2 linked regions of the Anolis sagrei genome follow. The protein of the gene in region 1 interacts with the protein of each later gene in a pairwise test. Links are inferred from orthologs where the notes say so. Each region holds a gene or a part of one and is shown on either strand. Other genes may lie near its edges.

Evidence for each region.
Region 2: the proteins of SPRY1 (region 1) and GEMIN4 interact in binary tests that used the Homo sapiens proteins (3 or more experiments, as listed by UniProt). The link is inferred for Anolis sagrei from reciprocal best matches to the Homo sapiens genes SPRY1 and GEMIN4.

The regions. Positions count from the first base shown.
Region 1 is NC_090025.1:37,237,094-37,245,333, reverse strand, and holds the start of SPRY1 (protein sprouty homolog 1), read right to left. Parts: upstream 3,810-8,240; 5' UTR 3,633-3,809; intron 2,550-3,632; exon of another isoform or gene 2,547-2,549; 5' UTR 1,893-2,546; intron 1-1,892. UniProt on the Homo sapiens protein: Inhibits fibroblast growth factor (FGF)-induced retinal lens fiber differentiation, probably by inhibiting FGF-mediated phosphorylation of ERK1/2. Inhibits TGFB-induced epithelial-to-mesenchymal transition in lens epithelial cells.
Region 2 is NC_090031.1:35,279,170-35,287,892, reverse strand, and holds the start of GEMIN4 (gem-associated protein 4), read left to right. Parts: upstream 1-5,242; 5' UTR 5,243-5,324; coding exon 5,325-5,334; intron 5,335-7,061; coding exon 7,062-8,723. Other genes in the region: GLOD4 (glyoxalase domain-containing protein 4), read left to right, coding at 996-1,061. UniProt on the Homo sapiens protein: The SMN complex catalyzes the assembly of small nuclear ribonucleoproteins (snRNPs), the building blocks of the spliceosome, and thereby plays an important role in the splicing of cellular pre-mRNAs.

The sequences.
Region 1 (8,240 bases):
CCATGCTTTGGAATCCTGGGGTTCACAGTCTAGCAAGGCCTCTTCAGCAGAGTTTGTGAAACTACAACTCCTATGACTCCATAGTATTGAGCCACGGTGGTTAAAGGGGTGTCAAACTGAATTCTACAGTGTATTCTGGATTCTACAGGTCCATTCATGGTGGACCACTTAATGCATGAGAATGAATCCCAAATCAGCCTGTGAGCCTTCTGTAGCAATGTTGTGAATACCAATGCAAATAGTAAACTCTGTGACACAAAGCCATTTTGAAGTCAAATATACTTTCTAGCCAGTGGAGTTGCAATAGCCAAGCTACAGAAATGCTTACAATGTGATTATTCTACCCGCAGAAATAACTTTTACAGTTACCATCATCATCACTCCAATCACAACAGAATCAAGCCACAAACTGGACACATATTTGAGTATTGACCACAATCAATACTCAACCCCAACATTTTCACAGAAAGTTCCCCCAAACTCCGTACATGTGAATCAACATGTTGCCTGAGTAGGGGGAAAAAAATAAAAACCCATGCACACATACAGAGGGTGCATCTACACTGTAGAATTAATGCATTTTGAAACCACTTTGACTACCACAGCTCAATGCTATGGAATCATGAGAGACGCAGTTTGGTGAGACGCCAGTCCTCTTTGCAGAGAAGGCCAAAGATCTTGAAAAACTATGCCTTGCATGATTTTAAGCTGTAGGAGCATAAGCAGCTGAGAGGGGAAAGGAAGGGGCCTGAGGCTGTTAGGAATTCTAGGAGTTGAAGTCCAAAACATCTGGAAGGCTGAAGTTTGCCCATGCCTGGTGTAGATGCACTCGGGAAGAGGAATCAAAGCATAATTGCAGCAATTTGCTGAAGCACATGGCGGGAAAGGTACTCCAAACCCCTCTCCAAATCCCCAGCCTTCCACTGAGTCAAAGCAAGCAAGGGTGCATCTACACTGTTGAACAGATGTACTTTTAACTGCCATGCCCCAAAGCTATGGAATCCGGAGAGCTGTAGTTTGGTGATGCTCGCATCCTCTTTGTCTTGTAAAACTACAACTCACAGGATGCCACAGTGTTAACAAATAAGAAAATACACAAAAAAGTATAGAAACAAAACTTCCAATTCTGGAATATACTAAAACTATCAAATATTAGAAGAATTAGGCAGTTTAAGTGGTGTCAAAGTGCATTCATTCTACAGTGTAGCTACACCCAAGGAGAGGGCTCAAAGCAGGAATGGCAGCCTTGGGAGAAAGTGCCTCTCTGAAGCAGTCAAGCAACCAAGAGTGTGTCTACACTGAGACAAGGCAGTTCAAGTGGTGCCAAACTATACTGCATAAATTCTACAAGGTGCACCCAAGACAAGATGCACCCAGGACCTTTCCACAGAGCCCTATATCCCAGAATATCAAGACAGAAAATCCCACAATATCTGCTTTGAACTGGGTAATCGGAGTCCACACTGCCATATATTCTTGACTATGTTATTGCTGTGCGTTTCGACGCTTGTTTTATATTTTGTATTGTTTTAAATTGCTGTTGATGCACTCTAATGTGCTATGTTTTAACTCTGTTATCTGGGCTTGGCCCTATGTAACCCACCCCAGGTTCCTTCAAGGAGATGGAGGCAGGGTATAAAAATACAGTAGTAGTAGTAGTAGTAGTAGTAGTAGTAGTTATTCTTATTATTCTTATTATAAAGCAGTTCAAAGCAGATAATGTGTGATTTTATTCAGCTGTGTGGAAGAGGCCCCAGACTCGGTCGGAAACCCAAAGTCATCCCCGGGAAGCCCCTAAAGCCAAAGAAGCTGCCTAAGGGCACCTGTTCGCTCATAGGTGCCAAGCCAGGCCCCTAGAGTCCATCTTGCAAGCTCTGCTGAGGCTCACTTACTTTTCGCAATGGCAACTCCGTGTGAAAGCAACCCCTAAGTTAGATCCATGGGGAGCCAGCCGGAGAGGTCGGCCTTGCCTTAAAATGCCGCAGGGCTCATTGAGAGAAGATTCCCTTTGCCAATCCTTGCTGCTGGGTTGCCAAGGGCGTCTTCTTCTTCTGGAGCAGAAAGCAATCCTGTTGCGCCCCAAAAGCCCTCTCTTTCCCAAGGGCAAACATTCAAGGAAAGAAGGCGATTGAGTTGCCTCTAGCCCTCCCTTGTTCAAGAAGAGAGGCGGCGTCCATGCGCTTCAGATCCAAGGGGGTGAAAAAGGAAGCCTTCTTTGGCTACCAGGTGGAAAAGCAAAAGGAGAGCTGGATTGAGCTTGCAAAGTGCTCTCTGGCTCAAACTCCTCCGGCATCCACACCAATGGGAGACTGTAAACAACAGCCAGGGGAGGAAGGAAAAGGGGGGCTTCTTGTGGAAAGCTGCTTGGTCTCCTTTCTCTCTTGGTCTCCTTTCTCTCTCTCTCTTTCTGCACTTCCCTTCCTTCTTTTTTGCTTTCCTTCCAAGGCGCGTGGGGCGCCTCGCTTCCTCGACTTTCCAAGCTCCTTTTTCTTGCTTCACCGCATGGTCCCTTCGAGCTGGAGCCAGACAAAGTGCCCAAGCGATGCCTGCTGGAAGTTGAAGGGGGGAGGGAGAAGAAAGAGATCAGTAAAGAGAGCAATGGACAGGTAGAAGTCACCCTTCCATACAAAAAATATATATCCAATGACTTTGTGGCAAAGCTGCCATGTGCTTTGGAGAGGGGGACGGCTTGCTTGACAGCCTTGTGGCACCCATTGGGGATTTTGGATGGGCACCCAATGGGGATTTTGGATAGGCACCCAATGGGGATTTTGGATGGGCACCCAATGGGGATTTTGGATGGGCACCCAATGGGGATTTTGGATGGGCACCCAATGGGGATTTTGGATAGGCACCCAATGGGGATTTTGGACAGGCACCCATTTTGATTTTGGATATCTGTTCTGGAAAAGGGGGGAAACCCAGACGGTGCAAACTCTGAGCAAGGCAGAAACAGAGAGATAGCACAGACATATCACTTGGGGAGGGGGAGGTCCCAGTTAGAGCAGTGGGGGCAAAGAAAGGTCCCAGTTCGAGCACATATGAGCAAACTTGGGCCTTCCAGGTGTGTTGGACTCCAACTCCCACCATTCCTAACAGCCTCAGGCCCTTTCCTTTTCCCCCTCAGCCGCTTAAGCCTGAGGCTGTTAGGAATGGTAGGAGTTGGAGTCCAACACACCTGGAAGGCCCAAGTTTGCACACACCTACTTTAGAGCCTTGTAGTAGGGAAGGTTGAGCAAGAAGTTCCCCAAGTTTAGCCTCATTTCTGGGTTTCCCCAAGGAAACATTGAGACTTCTTTGGACCTCCCCAATTTTGAGACTTCTTAAGACCCTCTCCTGGAAGCATTCAAGCCAGAAGCTCCCAATCTTGAGCCCTGTACTGGGTGGGTTCCCTAAAGCAACCCTCCCAACCTCTTAGGCTTTGTTTAGACCTAGGCTTGGAGACTGCAGAAAGGTGAAGGTCCCCGCCAAGCGCCCCCCAATCCGAACAATAAGGCTGCTGCTCCTGCTGCTGCTGCTGCTGCGTGGAGTCTCTTTCGGGAAAGGCTCCGCCTTGGCTGCACGCTGCAAGGCTTTGGGGCTCGGCAGCCTGGGCTCGGGCAGCACCTGAGCTCCTTCCCCGAGCGGATTACCGATTGCAAAGGTGTTTCCTCCCCGAGGCGCATCCACAGCAAGCTAAATCCAAGGCGGAGAGGCACCGAGGGCAGGTCCGGTGGCGGCGATCAAGCCTTGCGAGCGGCGCTGTCCTTTTGCGTGGCTCTGTTCAGAATGAGCTCAACTCGGCACGGGAACCTTTCAGCGCCGAGCCCCCCTTTCGCCCCCTTGGTCCCGCCCCCAATGATGTCAATCTGTCACTCAGGAGGGCGGCCCGGAAAACCCGGCCTGGACTCTCCCTTGCCCGCCTCCTTCCAGTGCACACAAGAAGCGCGCGCTTCCTCGCGCTCATTCATGCCAAGGTTTGCTTACCATTCATCAGGATTTCTTCATCGCACCAGAGAAGAAGGAGAAGGAGGAGGAGGAGGAGAGAAGTAGAAGGAGAAGAAGGAAAAGAATTGGACACAATATCAAGATTTCTTCATCTCACAAGAAGAAGGAGGAGGAGGAGATAAGAAGAGAAGGAGAAGGAGAAGAAGAGGACACAATATCAGGATTTCTTCATCTCACCAGAAGAGAAGGAGGAGGAGGAGAGAAGGAGGAGGAGAAGAAGAAGAGGAAGAAGAAGAAGAAGAAGAAAAGAAGAACTGGACACAATATCAAGATTTCTTCATCTCACCAGAAGAAGGAGGAGGTGAAGAGAAGGAGGAGAAGAAGAAGAGGACACAATATCAGGATTTCTTCATCTCACCAGGAGAAGGAGGAGGAGGTGACAAGAAGAAGAGAAGAGGAAGGAGAAGGAGAAGGAGAAGAATTATTTGGCACAATATCAGGATTTCTTCATCTCACTAGAAGGAGGAGGAGGAGGAGGAGAGAAAAAGAGAAGGAGAGTAGTAGTAGTAGTAGTAGTAGTAGTAGTAGTAGTAGTGGACACAATATCAGGATGTCTTCATCTCACCAGAAGGAGGAGGAGGAGAAGAGGAGGAGGAGGAGGAGGAGGAGGAGAAGAAGAAGAATTGGACATAATATCAGGATTTCTTCATCTCACCAGAAGAAGGAGGAGGATGAGGAGAGAAGAAGAGGAGGAGAAGAAGGAAAAGAATTGGACACAATATCAGGATTTCTTCATCTCACCAGAAGAAGGAGGAGAAGATAAGAAGAGAAGGAGAAGAAGAGGACACAATATCAGGATTTCTTCATCTCACCAGAAGAAGGAGGAGGAGGTGACAAGAAAAAGAGAAGAGGAAGGAGAAGAATTATTGGGTACAATATCAGGATTTCTTCATCTCACCAGAAGAAGGAGGAGGAGGAGGAGAGAAGAAGAAGAGGAGGAGGAGGAGGAGGAGGAGGAGGAGGAAGAGAAGGAGGAGGAGGAGGAGGAGGAGGAGGAAGAAGAGGAGGAGGAGGGAAGAAGTAGAAGGAGAAGAAGAAGAAGAATTGGACACAATATCAAGATTTCTTCATCTCACCAGAAGGAGGAGGAGAAGAGAAGAAGAGAAGGAGGAGAAGAAGAGGACACAATATCAGGATTTCTTCATCTCACCAGAAGAATCAGGAGGAGGTGAGAAGAAGAAGAGAAGAGGAAGGGGAAGAATTATTGGGCACAATATCAGGATTTTTTCATCTCACCAGTAGAAAGAGGAGGAGGAGGAGAGAAGAAGAAAAGGAGGAGAAGGAGAAGAAGTAGTATTGGACACAATATCAGGATTTCTTAATCTCACCAGAAGAAGGAGGAGGAAGAGAAGAGAAGAAGAAGAAGAAGAAGAAGAAGAATTGGACACAATATTAGTATTTCTTCATCTCATCAGGAGGAGGAGGAAGGGAAGGAGAGAAGAAGAAGAGAAGAAGAAGAAGAAGAAGAGGAAGAAGAAGAAGAATTGGACACAATATCAGGATTTCTTCATCGCACCATATTGTGTCCAATTCTGGGCACCACAATTGAAGAGAGATATTGACAAGTTGGAATGTGTCCAGAGGAGGGCGACTAAAAAGATGAAGGGTCTGGAGAACAAGCCCTATTAGGAGCGGCTTAAAGAGCTGGGCATGTTTAGCCTGAAGAAGAGAAGGCTGTTGAAAATGTCCACATGCTTATGAATTTCAATGGCTTCTCTGTGTAGTCTGGCATGGTGGTTTTTAGAGTGGTCCAGCATTTCTGTGTTTTCAAGTAATATGTTGTGTCCAGGTTTGTTCTTTCACACTTGTCTCAAATGGACAAGAGTTATTTCTCCCACCCTGGACACTCCATAGATATATAAACCACTCTTGCTGAGTTTCCAACAGACCTCACAACCTCTGAAGATGCTTGCCATAGATGTGAGTGAAACATCAGGAGAGGATGCTTCTGGAACATGGCCATATAGCCTGGAAAACTCACAGCAACCTGGTGTATTCCTTGTTTCGATTATTTAGACACTGAAAGCTTTAAAGTGCCTATCCAAGAGTGACACATGACACCTTGAGGACTCTGATGCCTTCCCTGAGAGGACAATGAGCACTGAAAAAGAGGATGGATATTGTGTCGTCGAAGGATGGATATTTCTCCACTTTCAAAGTGCATGAATGCAGTTTGACACCACTTTAACTGCCATGGCTCAATGTTATGGGACCCGGGAGTTATAGTTTGACGAGGTACCAGCACTCTTTGGTAGAGGTGGCTAAGCACCTTTGCAGAACTGCAACTCCATTAATCCATTTCACACAGAGAGGGAAGTTAAAGTGGTGCCAAACTGCATTAATTCTACAATGTAGATGTACTATCGGTGTTGGGCTGTAACGGGAAGTGTATCCAACAATGCATATTAGTTTTTCTAGAGATTTGTGGTTTTAAAAGGACTGCCAAATAGTACTGCCAAATAGTACTGGTGCCTAATCAATGGGTTTAGATTGACGGTGCAATTGGTTTAACCCCTGTGTCAGCAGGACAGCTGACCGAAAGGTCGGCAGTTCAGATCTGGAGAGTGGGGTGAGCTCCCATCTGTCAGCTCCACCTTCTCATGCAGGGACATGAGAGAGTCCCCTGCGCAACGTCTCTGCAGGCAGCCAATTCTCTCACACCAGAAGTGACTTGCAGTTTCTCAAGTCTCTCCTGATGCACACACACAAAATCAAATTACATTTCCTAGGATTCCCTAGCATTGAGCCAATGCAGTGAAAGTGGGGTCAAACTACATTAATTTTCCAGCATAGATGCATCCTAGGATCAGGTTATCTGGAAAACTGATTTTACACCCACACAATCCTTAGAAAAACTATTCCACAGCCAAAGTGCCGTAAGTGTGAAAACCCTTTGCCTAATTCTCACCTGCCTCTTTTCATATCCAACCCACATAGAGGAGAGAGCCTTTGAAGAGATTCCTAAATATTAAGATAGGTAAATGTGGTGGAAATCGGTTTTCCAGATAACCTGATCCCGATCTGTTCAAGGGATTGCCAGCACTTTCAACTGGAGCCCAAAATGTGAGCCACTGCAGCTGACAAAATAAAGGCATCATATGGTTGCAGTGTCCAGCCAATAATCTTGCCGTCTTATTCTGAATCAACTGGAGCTTCTGGGGCATTCATTTGAAAAGCAAAACCACATGCAATGCATTGTAGTAGTCCAGATGGGATGTTACTTATCCGTAGTAATGTGTAGTCTGATCCTCTGAGTCCTAAATGTATTCAGAAGTCTTTAGTGCAACGTTTCTCTACCTTCCTAATACCGCGACCCCTTAATATAATTCCTCATGTTGTGGTGACCCCCAACAATAAAATTATTTTTGTTGCTACTTCATAACTGTATACTTTGCTACTGTTATGAATCGTAATGTAAATATCTGATATGCAGGATGTATTTTTATTCACTGGACCAAATTTGGCACAAATACCCGAAACGCTCAAATTTGAATACTGGTGGGGTTGGGGGGGGGGATTGATTTTGTCAGTTGTAGTTGCTAGGATTTATAGTTCACCTACAATCAAAAGCATTCTGAACTCCACCAACGATGGAATTGAACCAAACTTGGCACATGGAACTCCCATGACCAACAGAAAATACTGTGGACTCAAACAATGATGGATCTGGACTAAACTTGACAGGAATACTAAATATGCCCTAATGTGAACATTGGTGAAGTTTGGGGAAAATAGGCCTTGACATTTGGGAGTTGTAGTTGCTGGGATTTATGATTCACTTACAATCAAAATGCATTCTGAACCCCAGCAATGATAGAATTGGGCCATACTTGGTACTTGGAACTCCCCCTGACCAACAGAAAATACTGGAAGGATTTGGTGGGCATTGACCTTGAGTTCTGGAGTTGTAGTTCACCTACATCCAGGGAGAACTGTGGACTCAAACAATGATGGATCTGGACCAAGCTTGGCACGGATACTCAATATATGTGAACATTGGTGGAGTTTGGGGAAAATAGACCTTGACATTTGGGAGTTGTAGGTGCTGGAATTTATAGTTCACCTATGATCAAAGAGCATTGTGAACTCCACCAATGATAGAATTGGGCCAAACTTCCCACACAAAACCCCCATGACCAATAAAAAATACTGTATTTTCTGATGGTCTTTGGTGACCCCTCTGACACCTCCTCGTGACCCCACAAGGGGTCCCAATCCCCGGGTTGAGAATCACTGCTTTAGTGAATTATTTT
Region 2 (8,723 bases), on another chromosome or scaffold:
AGAAGCTTAACATGGAGAATAAATAATAATAATAATAATAATAATAATAATAATAATAATGTGTTTGTCATGCAGTTTGAATAATATGAGGTTTTTTAGCATGGAATAATAATAATAGGTCTTAGCATGGTGAAATAATAATAATAATAATAATAATAATAATAATAATGTGTTTGGCATGGAGTTTGAATAATAAGGGGTTTTTAACATGGAATAATAATAATAATAATAATAATAATAATAATAATAGGTTTTAGCATGGAGAATGAATAATAATGATAATGTGTTTGGCACATTATTATTATTATTATTATTATAGGTTTTTAGCATGGAATAATAATAATAATAGGTGTTTAGCATGAATAATAATAATAATAATAATAAAATAATAATAATAGAAACTTTGCATAGAGAATGAATAATAATAATAATGTGGCATGTAGTTTGAATAATAATAGGTTTTTAGCATGGAGAGAAAATAATAATAATAGGTCTTTGACATGGAGATTAATGATAATAATAATAATAATAATAATAATAATAATAGAAGGTGTTTAGCATGGAGAAATAATAATAATAATAATAATCATCATTATTATTATTATAATGGGCTGGGCTTTAGCACAGCGGGTTAAACTTCCAGCTGCAGAAAATCCTGCCGATTGCCAGGCCAACAATTCAAGCCTGGGTTGGGGTGAGCTCCCAAGTGTCAGCCCAGCTTCTGCTCACCTAGCAGTTCAAAAACAGCAATGTGAGTAGATAAATAGGTACCGCTTTGGCGGGGAGGTAATCAAAGGCGCCCATAAGGACATGCTGTCGATTCGTTTGCCGTATATGTGTACTGTAATCCGCCCTGAGTCCCCTCGGGGAGATAGGACTGAATATAAATAAAGTTGTTTATTATTATTATTATTATTATTATTATTATTATTATTATAGGAGGTGTTTGGCATGGAGACTGAATAATAATAAGAATAGTCTTTCTCTTTCCGTAGAGTATGGCAGCCGACAAAAGCCAGGAGTGGTTTGCAAAGCACAACATCCCTAAACCTTCTGCCTGAAAGGAAAAGCCATGTATGGCTGCTTGGAAATACATTCCAGTGGATGCCTTCCGCCTCGAATGCAAGCGCCATCTATTCGGCGTTGGTTCGAAGGCTTCAGAGTCCGGTGCCCTCCGTCTGGTGTTTGCCAAATCAATGTATTGCCTTGGGTTTCATTCTGGGTTTCTTTTCCTCCAAATAAATAATTTCCCGTGAAGAAGAAAATATTATTATTATTATTATTATTATTATTATTATTATTATTATTATTTAATTCTATGTTATATGATAATATATATTACACAAAAACTATTATTATTCTGTCTATATAAATAAAAATGTCATGTTTGTTTGTGGGATTAACAGAACTCCAAAACCACTGGACGAATTCACACAAAATTTTGACAGAATACACCTAACAGTCCAATGAGTGTTGATCACTCCTAAAAATACAAAAACCCTCAGCAGAACGGACTTAAAAACCCCCAAAAATACACCATATATATATATATATATATATATATATATATATATATATACACACACACACACACACACACATACACACACACACACATATATACACACACATATATATACACATACACTCATATACACATGCACACATACATACACAAACTTGTATATGTATATTATTTATATACACACAAGCACACAGAAATATACACACATACATCTCCATATACACATATATACATGCACACACAAATATACACATGCACACACATATACACAATATACACATATAAATGTACACACATATACACACATCTATGCACACACATATATACACCCACACATACCCCCCACATATATATATCTATATCTATCTATACACACACACACATATACACAGATACACAAATATATACACACATATAAACACATATATACAATATACACATCTACGCACACACATATATACACCCACACATACCCCTCCACACACATATCTTATCTGAATTTATCTATCCATCTATCTATCTATATACACACACAAATATACACATATACACAGATACACAAATATATGCACACCTATACACCTCCACACACATATCTATCTGTATTTATCTATCCGTCTATCTATCTATAATATACACACACAAACACGCATATATACACAGATACACAAATATACACACACATATATACACACACACAAAACACATATATACAGACTGGGCCACAGCAACGCATGGCAGGGGACGGCTAGTAATATATAAAGGAGTCTTTCAACTTCCTGGGTAAAAACCCCCTTCCGAATTTGGGGAGCTCTCAAAAAACAGACCGGGACCCCCATTGAAATCCGGGACGCCGAAACAGATTGCAGTTTGCCCGGATTGCACAAGCATCATCCTAGCCTCGTGTACCAGTTGAAAGACAAAACATTGGGGGACCCTCAGGTTGAGAACCACTGGCCTAGATCCATCCTAGCGCCCCACTGGTGGCCCCCGAGACGGGACGATGGGACTCGGGAGTCCCCTGAAGGAACACAGATAGACCAAGACACTCAAGGTTGCCTTCCTTTCTCAAAGAGTGGGGGGGTTTAATGTCCAGGAGCAGGAGAGGTGGGCTTCGCTCCTTGTCCCCCCTGGGCCCTTCCGCCTTCCTTCTGGGGCCAGACTACAAGGCCCATCATGCCCTCACTGGTGGCTCCAAGGGAGGGGCTTGCGCAGGCGGAGGCGGAGGCAGGCGGTGAGCAGGGCCCCCTCTTTGCGCCCCGAGCAGAGCGAGCGCCGGGAGATCAGGAGGGGGCCCGGGCGGAAGGGGCTGTCCCTGCAGGAAGAGGAGGAGGAGGAGGAATTATTAGTATTATAATATATTATATAATAAGTATATTGTCTTAGTATACTGCTATACTGTAATATATTATTATATATTATATAATTAGTATATTGTATTACATTTTAGTATATTATTAGCATAGCACAATATTAGTATTATATGTTTCTATATTAAACTATACCGCTATACTGTAATATATTAATATATTGTTAGTATATTGTATTACATTTTAGTATATTATTAGCATAGAACAATATTAGTATTATATGTTACTATATTAAACTATACTGCTATACTGTAATATATTATTATATATTATTAGTATATTGTATTACATTTTAGTATATTATCTTATTAGCATAGCACAATATTAGTATTATATGTTACTATACTAAACGATACCACTATACTGTAATATATTATTATATATTATTAGTATATTGTATTATATTTTAGTATATTATATTATTAGCATACCACAATATTAGTATTATATGTTACTATACTAAACGATACCACTATACTGTAATATATTATTATATTGTATTATTAGTATATTGTCTTACGTTTTAGTATATTATCTTATTAGCATAGCACAATATTAGTATTCTATGTTACTATATTAAACTACCACTATACTGTAATATATTATTATATTGTATTATTAGTATATTGTCTTACGATTTAGTATATTATCTTATTAGCATAGCACAATATTAGTATTCTATGTTACTATATTAAACTATATATATTCAGTTAGAATTGATAACAGGAGCCCCCATGGTGCAGTGGGTTAAACCCTTGTGCTGACAGGACTGAGGACTGTAATATATTATTATATATTATATAATTAGTATACTGTATTACATTATATTATTAGCATAGCACAATATTAGTGTTATATGTTACTATATTAAACTATACTGCTATGCTGTAATATATTATTGTATTGTATTATTTATTGTATTACATTTTAGTAAATTATATTATTATCATACCACAATATTAGTATTATATGTTACTATATTAAACAATTCCACTGTACTGTAATATTATTAGAAATATTGCATGTAATATATAATATACAATTATTATAGCATTATAGTGTACTATATTATTATGCCACAACATGTAAAATACACTACCAGTATATTATACTGAACATTATTGTCATTCTTCTCATTATGATTGTATTAATATAATTATTATAATAATAGAAGAATCCCTGCTGGGATCGGAATATTTGATAGAATAATAATAATAGTAGTAGTAATAATAATAATAATAATAATATAAAATGATTCCTGCTGAGACTATGAATATTTTTAATAATAATAATAGAAGAATCCCTGCTGGGATCAAGAATATTTGATATAATAATATATATAGAAACAACAATTGATTTAATAATGTAATACAAAATAATAATAATATAACAATTCATATTATAATAATAATGCAATAATATATATTTAATAACAATGGATATAAAATAATAACAATGTAATATAAAATAATAATATAATAATTGGTATTATAATACTGCAATATAAAATAATATATACCAATAATAATAATAGTAGTAGAACAATACCCTATTATATCTTAATATAATAAAATAATTTGTTTTATTATATTATCATCAAATATAATATATATAATTTATAATAGAGTATAATATATTAATATAAGAATACATATATGAGTATAATATTATAAGAGTATAATATAAGTATAATATATGTATAATATATATTATAATATATTAATATAAGAATATATATTAATGTAATATAATTACCAATTATATTATATTAATATAATTAATATAATTATATTAATAATATTATATTATTAATATAATATAATATATATTATAAGAGTATAATATATTAATATAAGAATATATATTAATGTTATATAATTACTAATTATAGTATAATATAATTAATATTATATTATTAATATAATATAAGTATAATATGTATTATAAGAGTATAATATATTAATATAAGAATATATATTCAAACAATATAATTACTAATATTATCATCATATATTATAATATATAATTTATAATATATAAAATATATTAATATAAGAATCTAATAATAACGATAGTAATGATCATAGAGTAGGCCGACCATGCAGTGTAGGCCGGAAGGGGCGTGGCGTTGTCCGGGCGGGGGGCGGTGTCTCGGAGGAGGCGGCAGAGGAAGCTCTTCCGGCGGAACTTGGCTTTGCGGAACCCCGTCTCGGCGCCGGAAGAAGGGCAAGAAGGGGAGCGGGAAGAGGGCGGAAGTGTGGCGTCAGGCGGAGCCGCGCGCTTTCCACTGCAGCCGCCAGGGGACAAAAAGGTCTCTCCCATCCGGGGCTTTTGTGCCGCGCGGGCTGAGCGCACAATGCCCGCCTCTTCCTCCTCCCCTGCCACACTTCCGCTTCCGGCCCGGAAGAGGGGGAAGGAGAGAGGCAGCCATGCAGCTCGGTGGGTGGGAGATGTAGTTCGCCAAGGGCCACAGAAATATTTCATTTTCTATTTATTTTATTTTTGCTTTTCTACTACTTTTTTCATTTTCATGCCCAGTAATTTTATTTTCTATTATTTATGTCCTTTTTTTCCATTCATAGTTTCCTATTTGTATTTAATTTTTTATTTACTATTTTCTACTTATTTTCTTCTACTTACTTTTTTATTATTACTAATTATTTTATTATTATGTTTCCTGTCTCTTGGTTTATTTTCCATTATTTGTTTGTCATTCTGTATTTCCTACTTTTTTCTATTATTTATTATTTTATCAATTTTTGTTTAATTATTTTTTATTTATGTTTTCTAATTTAGGATCAGCTTTTTCTTTTTCTATTTATTATTACTATTATTATTCTTTTATATTTTCTAATTTTCCTTTTCTATTTATTATTATTATATATTTATGTTTTCTATTTTTCTATTTATGATCACTTTTTCCTTTTCTATTTATTATTATTATTCATTTATTCATGTTTTCTAAATTTCTATTTATGATCACTTTTTCCCCTTTCTATTTATTATTATTCATTTATTTATTTATATTTTCTAATTTTCTATTTTTTCTTTTCTATTTATTATTATTATTTATGTTTTCTATTTTTTATTTATGATCACTTTTTTCCTTTATTATTATTCATTGATTTATTTATATTTTCTAATTTTCTATTTTTTCTTTTCTATTTATTATTATTCGTTTATGTTTTCTATTTTTCTATTTATGATCACTTTTTTCCTTTTCTATTTATTATTATTCATTGATTTATATTTTCTAATTTTTCTTTTCTATTTATTATTATTAATTGATTTATATTTTATAATTTTCTATTTTTGTTTTCTATTTATTATTTTTATTATTTATTTATGTTTTCTAATGTTTTATTTATGATGACTTTTTCCCTTTTCTATTTATTATTATTATTATTATTATTATTATGTTTCTATTTTTCTTTCAGGTGTTTTTTTACCCTCCTGAGATTATTTTGGGGAGTTTTTTTTTAAGTGTTTGAACAGATTTTGGAATTTAATTCTATTTTTTGACATTTATAGGTTGTTGGTCACTATTTTTAAATAAAATGTTGTCATCTTCATGGCATTGAGAGTAATGCTGTGAGTCTCAGTCCAGAGATAAATAAATTGGATATGACTACTACTACTACTATTGGGTTTCTGTGAGTTTTCCAGGCTGTCTCCCATAGATGTGGATGAAATGCCAGGAGAGAATGCTTCTGGAACATGGCCAGACAGCCCAAAAAACTCACAGCAACCCAGTGATTCTGGCCATGAAAGCCTTCGACCAAACATCATTATCAGTCTTTGTATTAGCAATAATAATTGTAAGTAATAATATTGAGGAAAGCTGTCAAGAGATTAAAAAGGATATAATAATTCATAAAATAATAATACAGAAACATAAATATGTATTATATATCATGTAGTGTGTGTATATACACATATATACAATTTAGTTTGCCATGATATGAAAGGATTATCATCCACAATTTTCTATATTATATATTTATAAATTTTATGGTATTCATATATATATATATATATGTATATATGTATATATGTTTATATATATATATAAACATAATTTATAAATATATAGTAGACATCTCCGGGCTGAGGGTTGAGTAGCCCATCCTTCCCTTGAACAGAACGGTCTGTCTCTGTCCCAACAGGGCCGCTGACCATCTGCGGAGAAGTGACCGTCCTGCACGGCGGGTTCCTGCTGGCCTCCCAGCTGTGCCACCCCCGGCCGTTGTCCGAGCTGGCCAAGTCCGACTGGCCCGTGGTGGGGAAGCCCATCCTGGAGGCGCTGGAAGAGATCTGCACCTCCCACTCGTCGTACCCGCCGCAGCCGGACGCCTGGAAGAAGAAAGCGGCGGTCATCCTGTGGTCCAAGGTGCTCTTCTCCGAGGCCCCGGCGGTGTCCCTGAACCAGCGGTGGAAGGACGACGCCTTCTTCTCCGTCAGCAGCATGATCCCGGAGGTCAACCGCACGGTGCTCTTTGAGCTCTTCATGGCGGCCAACGCGCCCCGGCTTTTCACCGAACTTCTCCTGGTTCTTCCGGAGCCGCTTTGCCGGCGGGAACTGGAGGCGCTGGTGGCGTACGTGGCCAAGGAGACCTCTCCGCGCGACGTCCGCTTCTACTTAGACGTGTGGTGGGAGATCATGAAGCACAAGGCCGGCCAGGAAGACCGTCTGACCTTGCTCTTCCGCAACGTCTCCCGGCAGTGTCTCCCGGAGCCGGACGACACAGGTCAGGCCCCGAAGCGCTTCAAGAGCGACGCCCCTCCCTCGACGCATCCCCCCCTCGAGACGAACGTCCTTCCCATCTTAACGGAGGGTTTGAAGCTGATCCAGGGGAGCGTCTGCCCGGCGAAGATGAAGTGTTACGCTCTTGCCAACCTCGTGGACCTTGTGTCCATGTCGCTGGCGGCGTGCGACGCGGAGTCAGTGCCCATCAAGACGTACTTGGTGAAGGTCTCTTCAGTGGTGACGCTTTGGTGCAGCGACTGCGACAACCGCTATAGCAAATCGGAGCTGGACGAGAAGGTGAAGGAGGCTGAGCGGAGCGTGAGTTTGCTCAGCGTGGCTCAGACGTCCAAAGCGTTCTTGCTCATAGATTTGGCTTTTCTCCACGCTTTGTTGGAAGAGTGGTCTACGGAGCTTCAGGATTTCCTCAACGATCCGGAACAGGTCTGCTACGAAAGCTACCGGCTCCTCGATTGCTTGGCGTCGTTGCAGAAGCGGCTGGCGAGGTATGCCGAGTCGGGGGGCGACTTGGAGGACGAGACGGCCAAGGCCGTGGCGCGCCTCTCCGAGCTCGTGGCGGACTTCTTGAAGAGCGTCAGCCTCAAGCCATGCAACAATGAGGCCAAAAAGGACGTTGTGGCCTCTGTGGCCATGGTCATAATCGACAAGCGGATGGACCGCCACGAGGAGGTGTGCTCCGTATTCGCGGCAGAGAAGGACTGGGCGCTCACCGAGGAATGGGCCGACTGCCTTGTCAAGAACAAGGAGCTCTTCCGGGATCCCGGGACCGTCCTCAAATTGGCACAGACTTTGGCCAACAGCAGTCAAGACGCCCAAAGCCAGGGGCAGGCCGCCCGCGTGGCCAAAGTCATCCTTGAGTGTTACACGGCACTCCCCTTGACCGATCAGAACCAAGTCATTTCCGGCATCTTGGCGACGTGGGGCCGGAAGGGCCTTTCCGGGGCATCGCCGGCCTTCTCGGAGGGTTTCCAGGAGGAACTCAACGTAGCCTTCAACCAGATCATCCAGAGCGTGTCCGGAGAAGGCTTCCAGAGGGTGGTGGCTGCCGTGTCTCGGCTTGTGG